Linked DNA regions of Tamandua tetradactyla. The protein of the gene in region 3 purifies or fractionates together with the protein of the main gene of each other region. This does not show direct contact. Links are inferred from orthologs where the notes say so. Each region holds a gene or a part of one and is shown on either strand. Other genes may lie near its edges.

Region 1 (7,031 bases), on a different chromosome or scaffold from region 3:
GGCAAACATCTTGAGGCCTCTGAGCCCAGTATCTATAAAATGGGGACGAAGAGCCTTTCTCCCCCACTTTATACTGCAAGCTGATGAGGATTATAAGTGAGAAGTCCCTGGGAGCTGGGGTATTTTATGACTGTCCCAGTGGGTGCTCAGGAAGGGTTGCTGACCTGAACATTGATACTTCCACGTCACCACTCCTGGGGGCTTTCCTTTCCCCAAATAGGCTGCCATGTCTTGAGGAACGAGTCTTTGAACTTAGTGGCTCACTAAACAGAACAATAATCAATATCCAAGCTGGCAATCAGCCCCCTCCAACCGCATCCCACTTCCCTCTGGTCTCCCACCTGGATTTTTCTGGCAGCTTCCTTAATGGCCTCCCATCCTGGCCTCTTTTCATGACGTTTCCCATCCAGTCTTCCCACAACAGCTGGGGCAAGCTTCCCCAAACACATCTGATCCCATCACTCTCCTGCAGAGAACCTTTCACCGCGCACTGCTGCCCTGGAATAAAGTCCAAACCCCTGAGCATGGCTGACCTGACCCCGGCCAACAGCTCCTGCCAATACCTCGCACTCCCTCCCCACACCCAGGCCTTAGCACAATCCACTCCCAATCTCCCAGCCCAGAACACCATCCTCTCCCCACTAGCAGGCTCTCCCGGAAACCCCAAGGGCCCCATCCCATCCCATGCTAGAAGGCATCAGCCCCTCCCCCTTTTACACAATTGCCTATTTTCTCAAAGGCATTCCCCACTTAAGGATGCACCTGGGAGCCTCATCTCTGAAGCCCCAGTGCCTAGCATAGTATCTTGAAATATTTGTCGTATGAAGAATGATAATTGAAGAAATAGAGTGAATGAATGAATGCACATGTAAAATTTTCCTCTGGAGATCTTTTTCTGAGTTGATCAGAGATAAATTTCGGTGCTGCTGAAATGCTCAGGACTAGATAGCTGGCTGTTCATTCTCCTGCCAACCTCAGCATTGAATAAATGCCAGCCCCCAGGACCTCCATAGGGGGCAGGGCTCTCTCCAGTCTTAGAAGCTGGGGTGAAGGCTGAATCCCCTAAATCACTAATCAGCACAGCTGACCCACTGGAACAGAGGGCAGGCTGACTGCTCTGAACACAACAATGTAATTCCAGGAGGACCTGGGTTGCTCTGAGCCACGCCATACTGATAAGTCCCTGGCAAACAGTAGGTGCTCAATAAATACAGGTTGACTGAATGAGCTGGCTCACATGCCCCGCTGAAACGTGTCAAGACACTGGACTGAAACGGCAGCTCTCATGGGTAGTTGCATCCTTGTCGACATACAAATCCTTTAAAGTGGATTCCCCCCCAAACCATCAAGATCAGGGTTCGTGTTTGCACAACTCCCTAGGGAACCATCCCTGACGACAAAGGAAAGGAGGAGACGCCAGTGTCTGGGGGTGAGTCCGTGTTTGTCCAGGAGCCCCAGTGGATTAGCAAGAGGATGGATTAGCAAAGGGAAAGCTGGGCCAAGGGAGGAGCCTTGTCCAAATGCCCTGGTTACTCATTAGCCAAACCTTAGAGCTTCTCTCTGCAAAGGGGAATCAGAGGAGCAATTAACCCCTTAGGAAGAAAGGCCAAGTTAAATATCTCTTTAATCCTGCGATTAAAAATGACAGCAAGTCAGACTTTTGGACCCTTCCCTTAGACATCACAGAGGAAGCTTCAGGAAATGAGACATGGGAAAGCTGGGGCCCTAGCACTAATATTTATAGAGCCCCCACCTGCTTCATACCCATCATCCTTATTAATCCTGACATACTCTCATAAAACGGAGGGATTGAGCACAAACACACACCATTTGCTGGAAAGAAAACCCCGGCTGGCTCAGAGAGGTTGCCCAGGGTCACAAAGAAGCTGCACGGAAAAAGCTCTTTCTCTGTGCAACAGGTAGAGCCCTTTCCTTTCCAAAAGGCGACGGCTGCTCCAGGCGAAAGTTCAGTCCGAACCATAAAGAAGCCCTGGCCACCTAGGCGGCGCGCGGGGCTCACCCGCCCCGCTTCGGACCGAAAACAGGGTTTCAGGGCGCGGTGCCCAGGTTCCTAGGCCAGCGTGAGCCGGGAGGGTGTGGAAAGGTCAGGCTCCGGTTGGGGTCAGTGGGCCGCTTCCCTTCCCGAAGGCCCCACCCGTGGCCCCGCATCCGGGCCTGCCTGCAAGCTGCCGGACCCAGTCTTAATCCCACGAGGCAGCCTGTGCCCTGGAAGGAGCGCGGAGTGGGGCGCAGGCTCCGCGGGGAGGACGCGTCCGGAGCCCCGGCACTGGGGAGGTGGGGGGCGGTGCGCTGCCCTCCTCAGGCCCCTGCTATCCCCAGGATCCTCTTGCCTTGGGCTCGGCCTCACTCGGCGCCCTCACTCCCAGTGTCCACCTCTGGGGCCTCCAATCCACCGGCGTCCAGAACCCAGCAGCTCCAGACTGGGTACTCCGGGATCCCCGGCGATCCCCCAGCTCCTAGCTACCAGATCTTTCCGAATCCACTCCCTCTCGGGCCGGCGTGAGAGAAGTGGGGTACTCTCGCTGCCAGTCCGGAATCACCCTCCTGCACCACCACCCCCAGGCCAGGTATCTAGTGGGATCCCGAGGCCGCCTCATCTGGGATCGACTCCCAAGTCTCTGACCCGGCGGCGCGGGATCCATTGGTTGCACTGTGCGGGATCTTCCCGAGGGATCGGCTCTTAAGCCTAGAGAGAGAGAGAGAGAGAGAGATCCCTGGCTCCCAAACGGGGGTGCCCAGCCCCGCAGACCCAGGATCTGGGGAGATCCACCGGATCCCGGCGCCCCCGCCCCCTTCCCAGCCAACTTTGCCAACTTTTCTCTCGGGGCCTCAGCCGGGCAGGAACTTGGCAGCCATCGTCCGCCACCGCCTCCCCGGACCCCCAGCCCGCCAGGGATCTGGGAGCTGACGGACGGCCCCCATCCCCCGCGGCCTCCGCTCACCTACCCTGGAGCCGCCGCCGGCCCGCGCCGCCACCTGCCCGCAGCCCGCGACACCTGCCCGCGCCTCCCGCAGCCGCGCGCAGCCTAGCCTGCTGGGGGCGGGGCCTCGGGCGGGGACGCGCCCCCGTCGCCATGGGGATGGCGGCCAGCGGCGCCTGCGCGGAAGGCCCCTGGGCGGAGCGCTGTCGGCGCGACCCCTGCCCTCTAGGCGGCCCCTGAGCCTGGGGACAGGGCCGCGGGGTCGGAGGTCGCCAGCTCACCCGGGACCCCCTTCCGGAAGCGTCCCCGCCCGCCTCGAGGCCTGACCCCGCCGCGTCCGATTTGGAACGTAGTTCCTCGGTCCCCGCCCGCGTCCCCGGGGCGACCACCGAGTTCCGACCCGGATGCCCCAGGGCCTGCAGCGACCCGGCCGCGGGGTCTGCACCCCCGAGAGCCTAATGAAGCCCAGGGGCACTCATTAGGAGGCACTCGGGAACCCCTAGTCCATTGAATCGCCTGCGTCGGGGCCGCCAGCCACCGGAGCAAGCGGGCCCTTGAGCGAAGTGCTGGCGTCCCCGCGCGGCACGCAGGGGGCACTGACAGCTCCCCGGAGGCGCAGGGCCCGCAGGCGGGGCAAGGGGTGTTCACCCCTGTAGGTGCCTCCAGCGTGCGAGGCCGGCTGCTGTACGTGTTGGGAGGGACGTTTTGGACAAAGAATCACAGGGAGTGGCCCCTGCATGAGAAAATGCCTATTAATTTTACTTTTCTTTCCTCATATCATTCAGCAGACCTTTATTAATACCAACTGTATGCTGACATTGGTGAAGGAGCTGACAATGAAAAACATCCATTGAATTGCATTTGTGACGCTTGATAGGTGCCCCTGAGGATGAGTACAGAGCGTGAATACCCGAGGACCTAAAACCCTATGTGCATTTATTGTACATCAGAACACGAAAGCGTTCAGAAGAGAGAAAAGAACGCATCATGTGGCTGCAAGAGAATTGGAGAGGAGCTCATTTGCTTCCTCTTTCTTTTAGGTTGTTGGGACGTGGGGGTGGGGGGTCAGCAATAAGAAGTAAGGGCAGCTCTTGTAGAGTGAGTTACCCACTATTTCCATTGTTCCTTTTCATTTGCAAAGCAACTTTTTAAAACCTGGGATCACCCACCCCTTTCTACCTAGGCGCAGCCTGAGGCTCCTTAAAGGACCAGCCCACAGTGATGGAGCTGTGAAGTCCTGAGATCTGATGTCTTAGAATAATCACCTCTACTGTCTAGATGTCTTGAGCACAATCATAACTGGATCTAACCTAGTGACTTTCAAAATCCACCTTGCCCCTCTAGCATGGCTTTCACATGATATGTGTGTGTTATATAAGCAAAAGGGAATTATTATTTATGGTCTACCTCCCTCTCCAGTGTCAGTTGCTAGAGGATGGGGACTTTTGTCTGTTGGGTTCACTCCTGATTCTCAGTGCTTAGAGCAGGGCTTGGCACATAGTAGGTGCTCCATAAATATTTGCTGAATGTATGAGAATGACGAGCAGCTGATAGTGTCCCACCTGCCGTCTCTCTTTCCTATCCTTAGAGGAACTTCCTGCCTCTCCTTGGCAAATCTCCATGAACCAGAACATATGAGCTGAGGGTTCTGTTTAACTGAACGTCCCGTGTTTCTGAGATCCCAGCCAACTCAACCCTCCACCTCCACAGCCCTTCCTTGTCCCAGAATGTCAGCACTGGAAGGAGAAGACGGGCCCACTGCTCTACCTTCTGCAGAGACCCCAAACCCAGACCTGTCCTCAGTCTGACCGTGCCCCCACTTTCCACTCCAAGAAGTGTCCAAACTTTGAGGGGATCCCAGAAATGCCAAACCACAACTCCCAGACTCCTCCTGGCCCCAGAAGGGGCAGGACTTCCTGGTTCAGTCCTGACTTAGCTGTTCTTCCTGCATTCCTGTATTTTCCCTCCCAGGTGAGAGACTGCCAGCCAAGACAGCCTGAGATTATACCCTAACCACAAGTGGTGTCAGGTTGTATGTTGTTTCCAAAGCCACCCCCTCCCCCAGCCTAGGTTTTCCTGAGGCTATGCCAGCTCTCTTTAGATTACCCACCCAAGGATTTTCCCAAGAACCCCTTCTCTGTTCACTTTCTGCCTCCACCTCTAGGAAGTCTGCCCTGATTGGGCTACTTGTTCTCACGCTCTAGCAACTCTATCCAATAGAACTTTCTGCAGTGATCAAGAAATTCTATATCTGCACCGTCTAACATTAGCCAAGATGACTATTGAGCATTTGAAATGTGGCCAGTGAGCCTCAGGAACTGAATTTTAAATTTTACTTAATTTAGATTTTAAATAGTCACATGTAGCTATGGCTACTGTTTTGAACAGTACAACTCTAGAACCCACACACACCCTGGCAAAGATCATATTCACGCATTTCCATTGATGCATAGCTGTGTGTTTTGTTTCTCGTATAATTTACCTGCCCTTGAGGGTGAGATCCGGTGTATTCTTTGAAATGTTCTCCCTCGACCCTGGGCCTTTGTCCGTGCTATGCTCTGCCTGGCACATTTCTACCTGCCCATTGCCTGGTTAAATAAACCTGGTCTTCGGATCTTAGCTTAATTTAACATCGACTCCTCCCAGAAGCCATCCCTGACTACCAAGGCTGAGTTAGATGCCATAGCCCTACCCCATATCAAACCACTGAGAGCATTGTAGTATAATTGCTCATTTACTTCTCTGTCTCACTTTCTAGATTACGAGCTGCTTGAGGGCAGAAGCTAGCACAGTACCTGAAACAGAGCTGTTATCCCATAAATATTCATGAAATTCATATTGAGGATATGTATTCACATGATAGGATCCAGTGCCTGGTTCACAGTAATGATATTAACAAAAGTGATGGTTTATTGAACTAAGTGCTTTGCCTGTGCCATCTCATTAAATGGACATAGCAATTCTCCAGGAGAGGCTGTATTTTACAGATGAGGGCTCTAAAGCTCAGAGAGGTTAAGTAAATTGTCCAAGGTCATACAGCTAGCATCTAAGGCTTAGAAAACAGAATATGAAGCAGACCTTAATTCCAAAGCAGCAAGAGTGAAGGAAAAAGAACTGCGATGCAGGGGAAGAGGGAGAGCAAATACAAGATGTGACTCACTGGGCTGGCTATAGCGTCTCAAGAAAACACAGCTGGCATTTCCTCCATGCTGGGCTTCTCTGGAGAAGCTACATGGAACAGCCCATTGTAGGGAGGAAGGGCTAGGACTCCATCTGCTGGCACCTCCCATGTCCTGTTCACCATGAGTCACAACACAACAGCTTCTCACTTCTAGGCTGTATTACCTCCCTCTCCAGGCAGCTAGGAGGGGAGTCAGTTTCCTACTCAGGGCTTCACCTGAGTCTGGAAATGGAGGCACCACAACCCCCAAAGAGTCCAGTCAGGCCAGCTTGGGTGACAGCTGCAGATGTTGGGAGCTCGGGCCACAGCATAGGCCATGTCCTTGCAAGCTGAGCTGCCCCAGTGGCTGCAGCAACTTACCCATGCTACCTTCAGGGGCAGGGGGGTTAGGCACCTAAAAGGGGCAGCATTCAAATTCAGTACAGCTAGTAGACATCAAAACAGAATTTAAGACCTAGGTGAGAGTAACTCCAAAGACCTTTGACAAATATTCATTGAAAGAAAAAAAGGAGTATAATTGAATGACTGAGCAAGTGGGGGCCAGCCCTGTCAATCCTCAATTCCAGACTCTCATTTTACAGATGGAGAAACTGAGGCCAGAGAGGCAGAGACACAAAAACTGAAGTTACATTGAGTATAGGTGGCAGAGTAGGACTCAAGTCTCAGGGCTCAGGATTCCAACTTCACCCATAGGTTTTCTGCACTGGCTGAAAAAAAAAACATCATAAACATGACACAACTGTACCCTCCTGCTTCCAACAGCAAAACTTGGTGTGTGCTTATTTGTTTCATAACACTTCTTGTTTCTCCCTGCCCAGCATTCATCCCCATCCCCACCCCCTGATTGGCACCTCAGGTTTCCTTCCGGGACATGCCTCACCCCTCACCCTTAGCCTAAGTAGTTTCAG
Region 2 (7,463 bases), about 64 Mb from region 3:
GGGTAATTGACCCTGACTATCAGAAGGAAGTAGGACTGCAACTACATAATGGAGGTAAAGAAGAGTTTTCTTGGAATATAGGAGATCCCCTGGGGCGTCTATTAGTACTACCATGCCCTGTGATTAAAATCAATGGAAAACTGCAACAACACAATCCAGGCAGGACCACTAATGGCTCTGAGACTTCAGGAATGAAGGTTTGGGTCACCCCACCAGGCAAAGAACCACGGCCAGCTGAAGTGCTTGCTGAGGGGAAAGGGAACATGGAATGGGTAGTGGAAGAAGGTAGTGATAAATATGAACTTCGACCACGTGATCAGTTACAGAAACGAGGACTATAATGCTGTTTTGTTTGTGTTATACTATTTAAGTTGTAAGATATCAAGTTTAAGAATGAATGTTGCCCAAGGATTTGCACCCTATTCTGGAGAGATTTAATGTGTTTCCAGTTGTATGCAGGACAGTTGAGTATTGTCAGGTAAAAGAAAAAATGTGTGCTTATTTGTTTTCATTTGGAAATTAAGTATGGTCTAAGGTGATATATATATATAGGTGCCAAGTTGACAAGGGGTGGACTGTCATGGTTAGGGACAGGTGTCAACTTGGCCAAGTTATGGTACCTGTTCATCTGATTGGGCAAGCACTGGCCTGTCTGTTGCAATGAGGACATTTCATAGGATTAGGTCATGATCACATCAGCTACATCCACAGCTGATTCCATTTGTAATCAGCCAAAGGGGAGTGTCTTCTGCAATTAGTGATGCTAAATCCAATCATGGGAAGCCTTTTAAGGAGGACTCAGAGGAGACAGGTTGCCTTCCTGCTTTGGCTGGTGAGCCTCTCCTGTGGAGTTCATCCAGGCCATCCATTGGAGTCATCGGCTTCGCAGCCTGCCCTGTGGATTTTGGACTCTGCGTTTCTACGGTCACGTGAGACACTTTCATAAGTTTTATATTTGCAAGTGTTCCCTGTTGATTCTGTTTCTCTAGAGAATCCTAACTAATACAGTTTGCTACCAATTTTAATAGCCAAAAGAAAGTAGGTATTGCCAAAAGAGGCAGCAGCATAAAGAAAATATTGCCTGGCCCCCTGGAGCAGCTACTTTGAAAGGGGTATGCAACCTCTGCTAAGACAGTTCAGCCCACTTATATTTTCAATTCTTATTAAAACTTCCAGTTATTTATTTCCCTTGGCACCCAAACTACTGCTAATTTTTTTGAAATTAAAGAAGGATTTATTGATCATAAAATTAGAGAGGACAAGGAGTCCAGGGTGAACTATAACTGAAGAATGGTCTCTGTTTTAGAAAAAAGAAATCAACTGACACCCATCTAGTTTAGCTTAGATGGTTGAGACATAGCCAGAGTTATAAATAATAGCAAAGATTATTTCAGCCTCCAGGAATTTTTCAAAACCACATTTTTTTTTTGCCAACCCATCCCATTTTCTTTTTTCAAAAGCTGAAGAAGAAGGAGAATCTGGAACCCATTTTAAAGTTTTGTGAAAGCCTGTATTTGCCACAGTCTGATTTCTTTCAGATTTTGTCCATCCTTCACATCCAAAATATAATTCTATAGTAATATTCATGGCCAAGTGGATTTTTATGTCAAAGTAGGGGAATCTACAAGTTGCCTTTTAGAATTTCTTTTCTATTAGAACTTCAGCTGCCCTGGTCCACACTATTTGTCTTTCTTTTAAAAATCTCAACCATATTCACCAGAATAATTTAAGCAATGAAAAAAATTAATAGCAGTAACATATATTCTTTATTTACACAGCATTCTTCTCTCATAGATTCCAAATTTAAGATTAGGGAGTGAGAACATTGCCTTCTAAATACTTGTGGGTTGGATCTTGGATCTACTTTTCTTTGGTTGAAGGTATTTCACATGGGTGGAAATTCTTGGCTTCAGTATCAAGGTTATAATTTTATAAGAGTCTCTTGTTATCTTCCTTTGTTACATCATCTTATTTCATTTCCATCCTTCTCCCAGTAGACCCTCCAGACTAGTGGAAGTTTAGGGATTAAAAAACTCTGCCTTTCAACTGAACACATTGTTTCTTTTGCTGCCATCTCTCTGGACCTCTTCTATCTCCAACTCTAACAAAGAAAGCAGTTCTTTTATATCAGCAAAGGTTAATGTAGCAGATTGAATCAGCCCCACTTTCCCTCAAAGACATGTTCAAGTCCTAACCCCGGTCCTTGAGTTTGGACCCATTTGTAAACAGGAGCTTCCAAGATCATATTTGGATGAGGCCATGTTGAAACAGAATGGGGCTTAATCCTTATAAGGAGAGGAAATCTAGAAAGAAATGCAGGCAACTGGTCAGGGCCAGAAGCTAGAGAAGGAGAGAGAGAGAAAAAAAGTGTCATGTGATAGAGGCAGAGATACATCCAGAAGCCAAGGAACCCCGAGCATTACAGCAAGCCAGAACACTACCTACTCCAGGAGAAAGCATGGCCTGTGGATATCTTAATGTTGGACTTCTAGCTTCCAAAACCGAGGCAAAATATTCTTGTGGTTCAAGCCAACCCACCGTGTGGCATTTGTCATAGCCGGCAAACTAGGACTTAGTAACATACTTTTAATCTTGCAACATTTGTGGGGAATACTAAATTAGGAAATCCCACAAGTACCTATGGTTCATGTTTGGAAATCTCAAGGAACACAAGTTGTCTGGCTACACATCAAGCCTTCTTCGGCTTCTCCATATCACTGATCTCGTTTCTTCTCACTCCCCAATATATTCCAGCCAACAGCTCTCCCCACACTCATCTTGCAGGTTTTCACCCATGCTCCTGCATGCACACCAGATTGTAAAAGCATTTACAAGACACCTACTGTATGCAGAAGGAGTACTGTGTTTCATTCTCCATTCTGCCAATTCCTTGATTACAAGACTGGCTCAAAGTATATCATTCCAGAAAATGGTCTTTGCTTTAACTCCATCCCTCTCTGATGTCTCCTTACATATGTGTCCTCTGGTGAGTATAGTTCCAGGACTGCCTAATGCAGAGTCACTCCAATTTTTTTAACCATGATCCACAGGAAAGAATAAATTTAACAGAAACACTCTATACACACACACACACAGATATATAGTCTCACAAATATAGTTAACTGAAACAAAGTTTCATGTAAATAATACTTACTCTTAATATGGTACATGTTTAGTAATTTTAATTCTTTTTTATGTTTTTTAAAAATGCTGATCTTTAGCCACAAAATTGATTTCAAGATCAACAGTTTGAAAAACCCTGTCTAAGGAACTCTGGAGATTTAGGAGGCATGGAAACTAACTTGGGATTCTAATGGACAATAATTCAACCAGGAGGTGATTTAAGGGAGAATGTTTATAAAGTATTATCAGAAAAAGTGACAATTGCTATAAATAAGATATTTACGAACAAATGCTAAGTATGATCAAATCCTCTGATTTTCCTAAGAATTCAGTGATTTCTTAAGCAGACTTTTTTCTTTTTTACAAAATTCAATCTAGACATCAAATTTACAAAAAAATAGGAGGGGTGCTTTTCCCCCAGGAGCTCCCAGTTTAATGGAGGGTACAGGAAAGTGAATCAATTATTACAGTTCCACGCCCTGCGAGGAAGGAGGAGCACCTCAGTCAGAAAGGGGTGGCAGGTTTCCCAGAGCCCGTGACTCCCCAGAGGAGAGCGACACCTTCTCTCCAGACCAAGAAAGTCGGGAGTGCAGAAGTTCCAGGAGTCCAGAGTCCAGAAGGAGTGAAGGGCACAGATGGGGCAAAGGCCAGCGACCAGCAAGCAAAGGAGTTGAATTTTCTCCCAACACATAAAGGGAATCCACTGAGAGTTTCCAAGAAAGGCAGAGGGATAACCAGCTTTTCATTGTAGAAGGAAGCAGTGTGGATGGGGCTGGCTGGTTGACGAGCCGGGCTGGGGGCTGGGGGAGCTGGGCAGCTGGTTGGTGCCAAAATCTAGAGGAGAAAGAGTCAAAAGTCTGAACGGGGGCAGTGGTGTGGGAGCGGAGAGGACCGGATGCCTCGGCGGCATTAAGGATGTGGTAGCAAGTGGACTGGAGCTGATTACGTGGGTCAGGTCTTGGCTGACTCTCGGGTCTCTGGCAGGCCTGAGTTTGTGCCATCCACTCTGGTGGGGAAGGCAGCGGGAGGACCAAGTTCAGGAAAAGAGCTCGATTACGGATGTACTGAGTTTGGGATGCCTCTGTTGATCCAAGAGCTACTTGGATAGAAGGGGCTGGAGCTTGGGGAGAGGACTGGACTAGAGTTAGGTGAAGTCAAGAGTTGGATGAAGCCACAAAGGGAGGAACAGAAAATGGGACTAGCAAAGGACTAGGGTTGAAGCCTGGGGAAAGCTGCACTTTAAGGGAAATTACTGCTTAGTGGCTCAGATGTTTCTGGCTAGTGTTGGGTCAGCCCCTGCCCAGGCTTCCTTCCTGCCTTCCCGAGCTGCAAATACCTCCCCAGTTCTCCTGCACAGGAAGAGGAGGAAGAGTCATCAAGGCGGTTATTCAACAAAGATCCTCTTTTAGGAACCCACAGCCTTCTGGAGATGGCACAGGTACCCTGGAGAGGGCACGGCTCCAACAAAGGCAGGTAAGGGCAGCTGTGTGCCTTGTCAGGGACAAAGGGCAAGGGCTAGTTCTAAAACGGTTTCTGGGGCAGGGGTCCCAAATTCCTGCAGTGCTCCCAATCTTCTTTTCACACCTTTCAGGGCTGCCCTGTATGTCTTCCAAAGCCCCACGGGCTGAGTTGAGAACGCTGCTTCTTTGCAAGATCTCAAGTCCCACAAGGTACTTTGTGGGTGTGGTGACCCCAGCTCCGTCTCTAGTAGAGGGTGTGGGGTGGGCTATTAGGGATTAGGGAAGGCTGGAGCTGTGCTGGAAGCCTTGCTGTGCTCGAAGCCTTCGGGGCAGTGAAGCTCACCTTTCGCTTTTCTGATAAGGGCTGGTCTCTATCAGCTTGGCGCACACTCAGGAGTAAAAATAAAAAAAGTCTAGCACTCAGAGGAAAGAAGCCTGGGCTGGGGGGGAAGTTAAATGTCTACCAAAACACACACGTAACATTTGCAAATTTATCTGCAGCTTTGCAAGTTATCAAGTAGTCTCACAAATGCATCAGTATCACCAAGAAAACTTGTAAGAAATGCAAATTCTTCCGCTTTCCCCGTAGACCTACGGAATCACAGACTCCCGGGGTGGGGCGCAGCGCGCCGGCTCCGGGCTGGCTGAAGTTTGGGAAGCCTCGAGGTAGGATGTGGTCCCCCTCGCCGGACAGGCAAATCGGAGGGCGTAGCGACCATTTCACAGTTGCTAGGGGCCCGCCAGGACGGTCCCCCTGACAACTGGCCGCGAGCGCCGGGAGCGTTAACGTTCACCGACGTGGGTGTGTTTTATCTCCAGAACGCCTGGAAAGTCAGGGCCCGTGGGGTCGCGCCCAGGTAAGAGGCGCCCCTAGGACCTCGGGAAAGCCGCACGCGCGCCTGAGTCGGGTGGGAGCCCTGCGCTCCTGGCGCGTGCACGTGGGCGCGGCAGCGCGGGCGCGGGGCCGGGAGGGCGGGCGGGCGCGCGCCGAGGGGGTGGGTCCGGGCAGCCGGGCCGGCCTGGCACGCGCTCCGAGCCACTCAGCGCGCCCCGCGGCCTGCCCCGGGGGCCTATAATTAATCCACCGCGCTCGCCAGCCGCGCCGAGACGCCGGGGAAGGAGGCGCCGGGTCAGCCCTCACGGACCTCGCAACTTGTTCCGCTCAGCGAGTCCGGGCGGGCCGGACCCTCCCGGCGTCTTCCCCGACAGCGAGTGGCAGCAGGGAGCCCCGCCGCCACCGCCACCGCCGCCGCGGTCCCCTGCGAGTGTGCGCCCCTCGAGCTCCGGGGCCCGGGCAGGTGTGCGGGGCGCTGGTGCGGGAGCTGGCAGAGGAGGTGAGTGACGCCGGGCAGTCCGGGCGGGGGGGACGACGCGCTCCGGGGGGGCCGCGGGCCTGCGACCCTGTCCTCCCTCACTCGCCCCCCTCGGCCCCACTGGACTTCCCTCAGGGCCTGCGTGGGAAAGGCGACCCTGCTGGAGGTGTGTTTACTCAGGGGAAAGCGAGTCATTTGATTTCTGCCACTCCCCCGTCCCAGGCAGTGACACTCAGACCTTCAGCTCAGCTGGAGTCCGAAAGCCCTTAGCGCTGGGCCCGTGGCTGCCCTGGAGCTGGACCCCAAGACTTTCTCCAGCCCCAGGACCCAGGGGACGTGACACGCACCGCCCTCCTACTCTGTCCTTTTAAATTCCGAGGGTAGGAGAACGAGGAGGGCAGCTGCGGTACAGGACACAAAACTCCGTTTGCAAACACAGTAAAACCGGCCTTGCCAGTGTTTTAAAACAGGACGTGCACACGACTTGTGTGGTTTCCTCGAGACACCTGGCCCGCGACCGAGCGTCAGTGTCCCCTGGCGCCGGGATAGCTCGGGGCCCCTTCGCGCGGGGCACGGACTCCAGCCTCGGCAGGGCGGCCCCAGGATGGCCCCCGAACACTGGGGAGTGGGTGATCCGCGCTCGGCCCGGGGATCCCCGCGCCTGGCTCAGCTCCGTGTCCCCGAGCCGCGGTGCCCTTCTCCCTGTCCCCGGGTGCCGCCGCCCGGTGGCCCGGCAGAGGGCGCCGGCTCGCGGTCACTGTGCCGGGCGGCGAAGGGGAGGGGACTGGTGCGAGCCTCCAGGTAAGGAGCGAAATGAATCATCCCGAGAAGGGGGCACCCAGATCCTCGCTCTGCGGAAGGAAACGAGGAGTGGCCGCGGCGCTCTGGAGAAGTTGGGCTTCTCCCGTCCGGCGGAAAGCGGCGATTCAGAAACTGGAGGTGTGGGGAGCGCTCGGGAAGGTGAGGAGCGTCCCTCCCGCGCGGTGGCCCCGGGGGAGGGCAGCGGCCACCAGGGTAAGGCCGAGGACACTAGGGTTCGCCGTTGCGCACCCCGTCCGCCGCCTCGGGGACCGCAGGCAGGGTCCGCATCCGGATCCTGCGGGGGTGGTGGCGGCGGCGGCAACCCCGGAGCCCCCGGAAGGCGAGGAGGAGGGCCGATGCCTGGGCCCTGGCGGCTGGGTTCGGGTGTCCCCGGAGGCCCGCGGGGTCCAGCCGCAGTAACAAAGAGGCGGCGCAGCCCCTGTTCCCCCCACTTCCGTCCCCGCCGCGCCCGGGCGCGCGCCCTCGGGAGGTGCCTGCCGGGCGGCGGGTCAGGGTTTCCCTGCGCCGAGTTTCGGGAAGTTTTGCTGGCGGTCCGTTGGTGAGGAGGGGCTGGGTGCCCAGCTGCGACACTGCCAGCTTCCTCCCGGGACGCGCCCCGCGGGGGTGTGAGCTCCTGCGCCCGGGCTGCCCGCGCCCCGCCTCCCGGCCGAGCCCTGCGCTTCAAAAGCCCCGCGCCGCGCGCCCTTCCTGCGCGCTCCCGCACCCCAATCGGGCGTGGCGTGGGCGCGCGCGCTGCCCCGGGGGA
Region 3 (7,229 bases):
AGCTATGGTCAAGATCAAGTCTCTATAAGAAAATGAGAATATAAGGCATTTTCTACTCCCACTTAGTTTCCATTTCCCCTTCTTTTAGCCACACACCCCAATTTTCCTTCCAAAAAGAGCCCTGAAAGAGGCATAAGAGAGAATCATGCATAAGTAGCTGTTCTAGTATACAAGCTGCCAGAATGTGATACACCAGAAAAAGAATGGCTTTTAAAAAGGGGAATACATTAAGTTGCAAGTTTACATTTCTAAGGCTGTGAAAATTCCAAATTAAAGCAAGTCTATAGAAATGTCCAATCCAAGGCATCCAGGGAAAGATACCATGGTTTAAGAGGGCTGATGATGTTTAGGGTTTCTCTCTCAACTGGAAAGGCATATGGCGAAAATGGCAACATCTTCTAACTTTCCCTCCAGGCTTCTTGTTTCATGAAGCTCGCCCAGGGGCATTTTCCTTCTCCCTCTCCAAAGGTCTCTGGCTGTTTGGACCCTCAAGCTTTTTCCAAAATGGTTCTCCCTTAAAGGGCTCCAGTAAGCAACCTCACCTTGAATGGGCGGAGACACATCTCCATGGAAACCATCTAATCAAAAGTTACCACCCACAATTGTGTGGGTCACATCTCCATGGATAATCAAAAAAGCTCCCACCCAGCAATACTGAATAAGGATCAAAAGGACATGGCTTTTTTGGGGTACACAACAGATTCAAACCAGCACAGTAGCTTTGTGTGTTCCACTGGCATGTGCATATGAGACAGTGGCCAAGGTTTGTTTTCAAGGTTGGTAGGAACAAACTATAAAGGAAATATATTCAGGTGAAGGAGATGCTTCAGTAATTCTTGGTAGCTCTAGAGTAATTCATGTCATAACTTCTCCAGGGGTGGCACTTAGCAGGGACCTTTTCAAAACTAACTGAGGAAATGGACAAAAGTAAGACACACTTACTCAAATATAAGGAACCAATAGTTCAAGCAATTATTTTATTTAGAAAGACAATTGTTTTTCAAATATGCATGATTTTTTCACACCTCTCCACTGCTATAAAAGACATTATTTGACATAATAATGTCATGTCAACGTGAGCATGATAGTAACAAACAACCAGATATCAGTTGTCTAACACCAGTAATTTTTTTCAGAAGTCAAAATTTTAAACTGAAGGTATTAGTTTTCCAGTGCAGATATTGAACTAAATAGTGTCTTACAGATGTTTGTATCTTGTGTAACCATTTAATGGTCAGTCAACATTACCTATTGGGTACCTATCATCTTATATATTACATTATTATTTGTATTACATGTTTCCATTATATGATGAAAAAGAAACATGAGTCTTACCGTCAGGACACTAGGGTTCAAAATAATATCCACTAGACGTGTGATTTTGGTCAAGATATTTAATTTATCTGAGGCTCAATTTGCTGGCCTAAAGATAAGAGGGTGGTACTAGATGAACCCAAAGAATGTGATTCTAGGAAATTAGGTAACCTCTGACCTTGGAGAGCTTTAAACCTACTTGAGGACATAGAGCACATCCATAGGAAAAGAGATCAAAACAGTTACAAGTAAGTTAAAAATAATCACTGCCAAAGGAAGAACTTAAAAAAAAAATCAGATTCTGGTGCTGTTAATTGGGAAGACTAAGATCACTTTGTTAATCAATAAAAGAAAGGTGAGTTTCGAAAATTAAATGAGAAAAAGGTAGGTAACGCTCACTCAGTATGTAAAATTGAGCATGGGAAGAATATTTGTTTCTTTTTTCATCACCAAAAAGTGCTAATTTTCAAAAATGCCAGTGCAATTTCTTTTCAAAGTCTTATAAAGGTCATTCTATATTTATGCCCACTAAATGTAACTGCCTGAAATCTTTCCAGGATTCCTGAGTTACTTGAATTCTATAATTCCTCTTGAACTCTATCAAGAGGGTGACATCGAGAGGTTACTGAAAAGATGATTAGAAATCATACATACTTGCTGGCTGTGTCACCATGGGGAACCATGTAAAGTATCACCAAGGTTACCACTATAAACATGACTCAAATTATTGAGAAACACTACCAGATTTGGGTGAGGTTTTTAAAGGAAGAGAATGGCCAATTAATGAAGCAACAATGTTTACTGAGTATACATTTGTACAGATTATTGATATAAGGGGTTGCTAAGTAAACAGAAAAAAACCTGAAATTAAAAAAAAAAACAAAAAAACCCAGAAGTACTGTTGAAGTAGAAGGTGGCAGATGAATAGAACTGATAATGTGATAGAATAATCTAATTGGGGAAGAGTGCCCAGATTTTAAAGAGGGAGAAAGAAAATTCTTGCAGTGGAAATAAAATGAAAGATAGAATAAGATGCCTGGATTCTATCCCAGTTCTGCCACTTGGAGCTGTGCAACCTTGGACAAATCGTCTAGCCTCAGTTTTCTGCAAAACGGGTATTAATGCTGAATAATCAATGAAAATAAAACACTTTTAATGCTGAATAATCAATGAAAACAATGCCTTGCAAACTGTAAAACAGTAAACGTCATTTATTTACATCCAGTGATGTCCCTGGCCAAACTGCATGGCTTATGCTCTTTCACTTCTCTCTACCTTTTAGCCTCAACAGGATGCCTGCTTTTTTTTCCTGCAGATGTCAGCATTTTTTCTTTTCCTGTTCTTTGCCCAGACTGTAAACCTCTCAATATTATGGCCCCTGTTTGCTTTGCATTTACAAGTAATATTCATACTATGAACACTCCGTAAATTACTTAATAGTAGCGTCTTGTATCTGTACAGTTATTTGAACTCTTTAACGTATTCTCATGCAGCTGTCAGATTCATCTTGCTAGGCTATTTCTGATCAAGTCATACCAGTTCACAAAAGTTACCAACAGCTTTTCATTTTCTACTGAATAAAGTTCTAACTTCCATCTAAATTCTAAGGCCTTGCTACTTAAGGTGTGGTCCATGGAGAAGCAACATTGACATCAGCTAGAAGCTTGTTAAAAATGCAAAATCTCGAGTTCAAACACAAAGAATCAGCAACTGCATTTCAAGATTCCCATTTGATTAAGAGGCACTGGAGATGGGCAAACAAGATCCTTAACCCTTTAGCAAGAGCCTCCTTTCCTGCCTTATTTGTTTCAACTTTGATTAAATATACTGAACTTTCAGTTACCTAGAGTTACTTACTAGCTCCCCTACATACTCTAGGATTCCCCTATTTCTTTGTCTTTGCTTATTGTCTCTTGTATTTTGAATCCCTTTTCCCTACAGCACAAGTCTTAATTTTCTCCAGCCTTTAAGGTATAGCTGTTAGCAAAATTATCGTGTCCATGATATAGTCCCTAATCTTGCCCTCTACCAGAAGTGATTTATTCTGAATCTTCCATAGAATTTTATTGGTAGCATTTTGTACTGCTATTATTTGAGTCCACCTTCACTCTCTTGCTAAACTTGAAGCCTCAGGAGCAGAGTTGCCAGATTAAGCCAATAAAATTAAGGATGCACAGTAAAAATTGAATTTCAGAAAAACAATAAATAACTTTTTAGTGTATGTCCCCAATGCTTCATGGGCTATACTTTAAAAATGTTGTTTATCTGAAATTCAAATTTATTGGGTGTCCTGTATTTAATTTGGCAGCCTATTCAGGAGTGTAGGACTCACCTCTAACATAATTTTGTATTCCCTGAGACTACAGTCAGTGCCTTCCCAAATGCTCAGTGTATGTTTGCTTAATGAATAGAAACATTGCAATTCCTTGAGAATAGGGCTTTCTATGGTTTTGTTTAACATTTTATATGCCTAGAGACCAACACAGTACCTGGCACACAATAAAGGAACAATAAATATTTGTTGAATGAATGAAAAAAATAAATGTATTATGAGCAACCTTCCAGTTATGGACCGGGTTGTGCCTATTATTAAAGCTAAATAATCATTAAAAAAAAATAATGCTTAAAAAGTTTCTTTCGTACGCTTTTTCACATTTTGGCTGGCAGAGTTCAGCACTTGAGGGGAACATAATCAAGGGCTCAGAATGTACTCGTTGCAGGATGGGCCCATATGGTCACTGGTGAGGAAAGAAGCCTGCACTCACGAGGCTGACAAGCTTGCAGCAGGCGGCGGTAGGCGTCTCCTTCCCCCTCCCTAGCCTACGAGGCGCCCGCGCATGCGCGACGCTGCGCTCCTTCCCCGCGGGCCGGGTTGAGGGAGGCTGGGCTCCGCGGCGCGTGCGCGGCGGCCTAGGCGCCGGGCTCCTCCCTAGGCGGGGGCGCGCGGCGCGGAGGACTGCACCGAAAGGGGGAAGTCAGGTGGCTGCTGCCGCCGCTACCGCGGTTTGTCGCCAGAAGGAAGATGGCGGATCTGGAGGAGCAGTTGTCTGATGAGGAGAAGGTAGGAGCCGCGGGGGCGACGGAAGCCATCCGTCCAGGAGCCAGCAGAGGCCGGGCCTGTCAGTCCGGAGTCTGGTGGCTGGGCAAGGGCATTGGCCATCGGTCTGTGCCCTCCGTGCCCTTCCTCTCCTCTTTCCTCCCTGCGCTCCTGTGCCTGCCCCTGTCAGTCACTGGAGGCCCCGCGCGGGAGACAGACCTTTGCCTGGCCTGATCGTTCCGCTCCTTCTAGGGTGTGCGCTCCGAAAATAGGAAGCAGGATCCGGGCGGTGGCGGCGGCGCTGGGAGCTGCGGGCGGGTGCGCGGGCGGAGGGCGGCGCCGCCGGGGCTGTGGACCCGGGTGGGAGTCGCGGGGCCCTGGCCTGTGTGGGGACTGCATAGGGGTCTGCGTTCAGACCCAGGAGCGGCCCAAGAGCAGTTCCCAGCCCTACAGCCGGGCCTTACAGAGTAGCGAGGGGTGAAGGCTAAATGGAAAAAAAGTCTCCTACGAAGCAAACCTCCTTTCTCCCTGCTGCCCAAAGCAAATGCTTCCTTTCTGGGCCCTCTGCTATTTTTTTTTTTTTTTTCCTTCCCATTCCCTGTGGAGGTTTATTGTTGGTGTTTTTGTTGTTGTTTGTCTTTTCTTTTCTCTCTCTCTTTTTTTCTTTTCTGCTTTAGCTGTAGCCTTTGCAGCTCCCGTGTTCCCTGGGAGGCAGCGGAGTTGCTCCTAAAAAGATTTCGACACCCCCACCCCCATAGTTGGTTCCTGGCCAGGTTGACGAGAGCCCTCCTAGGGACTGATCTGGTGGCACCCCGTCTTCCTGCTGGTACTTATTCCGAAAGGGAAAGATTCTACTGTGTATGAAATGTGTGACAAATGCAACCAGATGAGCGACTAAGTTCTCAGGCAGACATTTATAATAAGAAATCTGATCATTGAACTAGTTCTCTCATTCACTCTTTGCTTTGGCTACTGTGAGGCCCATTCTCCCAAGTGGGGATGGGGGTGGGAGGGGACTCTAAATTTTGAGTATTGAGAGAATCTTGACGTTTCTCATACCCAGTAGTAGCTGACATAACAGATCAATAAAGTAGTTAGAATTTTCGAAATGTCCGCTTTTATCAATGCTTCATTTTTAAGTTTCGAGGCAGTTAACAGCCATGCAGTTGCATTGTGGTATTTAAGAAATCCTAAAGTAGGGCTAAGGATATTTTCATTTGGAACTCTGCTCCATATGTTTTTATATCTTTGTATCCTTGTGTCGAAATGTAATGTTCTGTCTCCCTTCCGGTGTGAACATGCAGAAGTCTGCCTCATCTTCATTTTTGGAAATCTTTGTTTCTCTGTGCTCTGTGGTGGAAATGATGATCAAACCCAACAAAATGGAGAGACAACAATTCTCCATAATCCTTCATCACTTTGTAGGCAGATCTCTATCCACAGAAGTTGCTGTGCAGGATTCACATTTGTGTCATTGATAAATAGTCATAAGTTGGTAATTGAAAATACACTTATATGCATGTTTCAAGTCATGTAGTGCTAAAATGCTTTTTTTTTTTTTTAAAAGATTGTCACGTTTTTATTTTACTGTTCTTAAGTGGTGCTCAGTAGCTCAAGTGGCTAGAAATCTAGCTGAGGAGAAAGTACTTGGTGTGGGAGTTAATACAGAGCCATGTGTTGCATAGAACTAAACTGCTGAAGTTTTTTGAAAATGAAATGATGAGATTCTTTTATTATCTGACACTTTTAGGGCACTAAGCTCTGTAAAGAGTGGGGTCTTACTCTCTAATCTTACCTAGCACAATATTTTATGAGTAGATGTGTGAAAATTCCAATTTGAAGGAATTTTGTGTTTTTGTTTTTTGTTTTTGAGTTTTGGAAGAATGTTCTGTAGGTATTTCACATATGAATTTTATTATTTTATTTACTAACTTAAGAAAAACACTGTCCAAATTTTTGGGCTAAATTTAAGTAACTGATTGAATGAAAATTTCATTCTTGTTACTTTAAGTTACCTAAATGTCTTTTTATCGGGGAGGAGGTTATGGGTCATAAATGGAGAGGATTTAAAAGTAGTATTTTTGAACTAACCGTTAAATCATGTTACCCTTTCTGCCATCTTGTTTATAATTTTTCATAAATAAAATTTTAATACTTTCAAGCTTTTGGAATTCCCATTATCAATTGCATATATAAGGAAGGGAAGCTAAAATTTATGTAGTGCTGTACAGTAAGCCTGGTTCAGTTAGGCAATACATATATTACTTAATTTGTTGTAATTTTGAGGTAGGTATTATAACTGTTCCATAGATAAGTAAAGTGAAATTTCAAAAGCTTTAATTCTACCCAAAGACGCATAGATAGGAAGTGGCAGAAGTGATGTTTTTAAACCCAAATTTATCTGAGTACGAAGTTTGAGTTTAAGTACTCTCTCCTTAAATGGCATTATGCTGCCTCAAACAGTTGATTATAGGGCCTTCTTTTGGGTTTGTCTCTTGTTTTTAATTTGTTGGCAACATACTTCAAGAAAGGAAAAACAATGATTCTTTTTTGGTTTTAGTAAAAATTTTAAACACTAAAATTAAAGTGTTGCATTCTAAACTTAATTTGTGTTATTATCACTTTAGGGCAAAGTTTATTATTAGCGTATTTTAAAGTTTTATGCTATGTCTTATGGCAGAAAGCATTTTAGAAACTAATCTAGAATAATATCTTTACTTTTTTTCACTCATGCATGTTTGCTTTTCAGTTATACCACAGTGAAATGCAATGTAATCTTTTCATCTTTGATCACTGGATTAATAGGAAATAAGTCTGTGCTGAAGAAGCACAGAGAAGTTCTTTAACATTATTCATTCGCAGTAGCATGTCCCACGGA

What was found. The genes of interacting proteins can lie anywhere in the genome.
Region 1: the proteins of CAPZA2 (region 3) and KIAA1671 purify together in Homo sapiens (affinity purification with mass spectrometry; 3 studies listed by BioGRID and IntAct, counting the BioPlex papers as one, with this or other methods). This does not show direct contact. The link is inferred for Tamandua tetradactyla from reciprocal best matches to the Homo sapiens genes CAPZA2 and KIAA1671.
Region 2: the proteins of CAPZA2 (region 3) and SVIL purify together in Homo sapiens (affinity purification with mass spectrometry; 3 studies listed by BioGRID and IntAct, counting the BioPlex papers as one, with this or other methods). This does not show direct contact. The link is inferred for Tamandua tetradactyla from reciprocal best matches to the Homo sapiens genes CAPZA2 and SVIL.

What each region holds. Positions count from the first base shown.
Region 1 is NC_135331.1:34,798,839-34,805,869, reverse strand, and holds the start of KIAA1671 (uncharacterized protein KIAA1671 homolog), read right to left. Parts: upstream 3,022-7,031; 5' UTR 2,968-3,021; exon of another isoform or gene 2,964-2,967; intron 2,198-2,963; exon of another isoform or gene 342-2,197; intron 1-341.
Region 2 is NC_135327.1:220,644,273-220,651,735, reverse strand, and holds the start of SVIL (supervillin), read left to right. Parts: upstream 1-4,442; 5' UTR 4,443-4,596; intron 4,597-4,714; 5' UTR 4,715-4,793; intron 4,794-5,172; 5' UTR 5,173-5,249; intron 5,250-5,402; 5' UTR 5,403-5,440; intron 5,441-5,620; exon of another isoform or gene 5,621-5,917; intron 5,918-6,660; exon of another isoform or gene 6,661-6,856; intron 6,857-7,463.
Region 3 is NC_135327.1:156,403,337-156,410,565, forward strand, and holds the start of CAPZA2 (F-actin-capping protein subunit alpha-2), read left to right. Parts: upstream 1-4,215; 5' UTR 4,216-4,336; coding exon 4,337-4,375; intron 4,376-7,229. UniProt on the Homo sapiens protein: F-actin-capping proteins bind in a Ca(2+)-independent manner to the fast growing ends of actin filaments (barbed end) thereby blocking the exchange of subunits at these ends.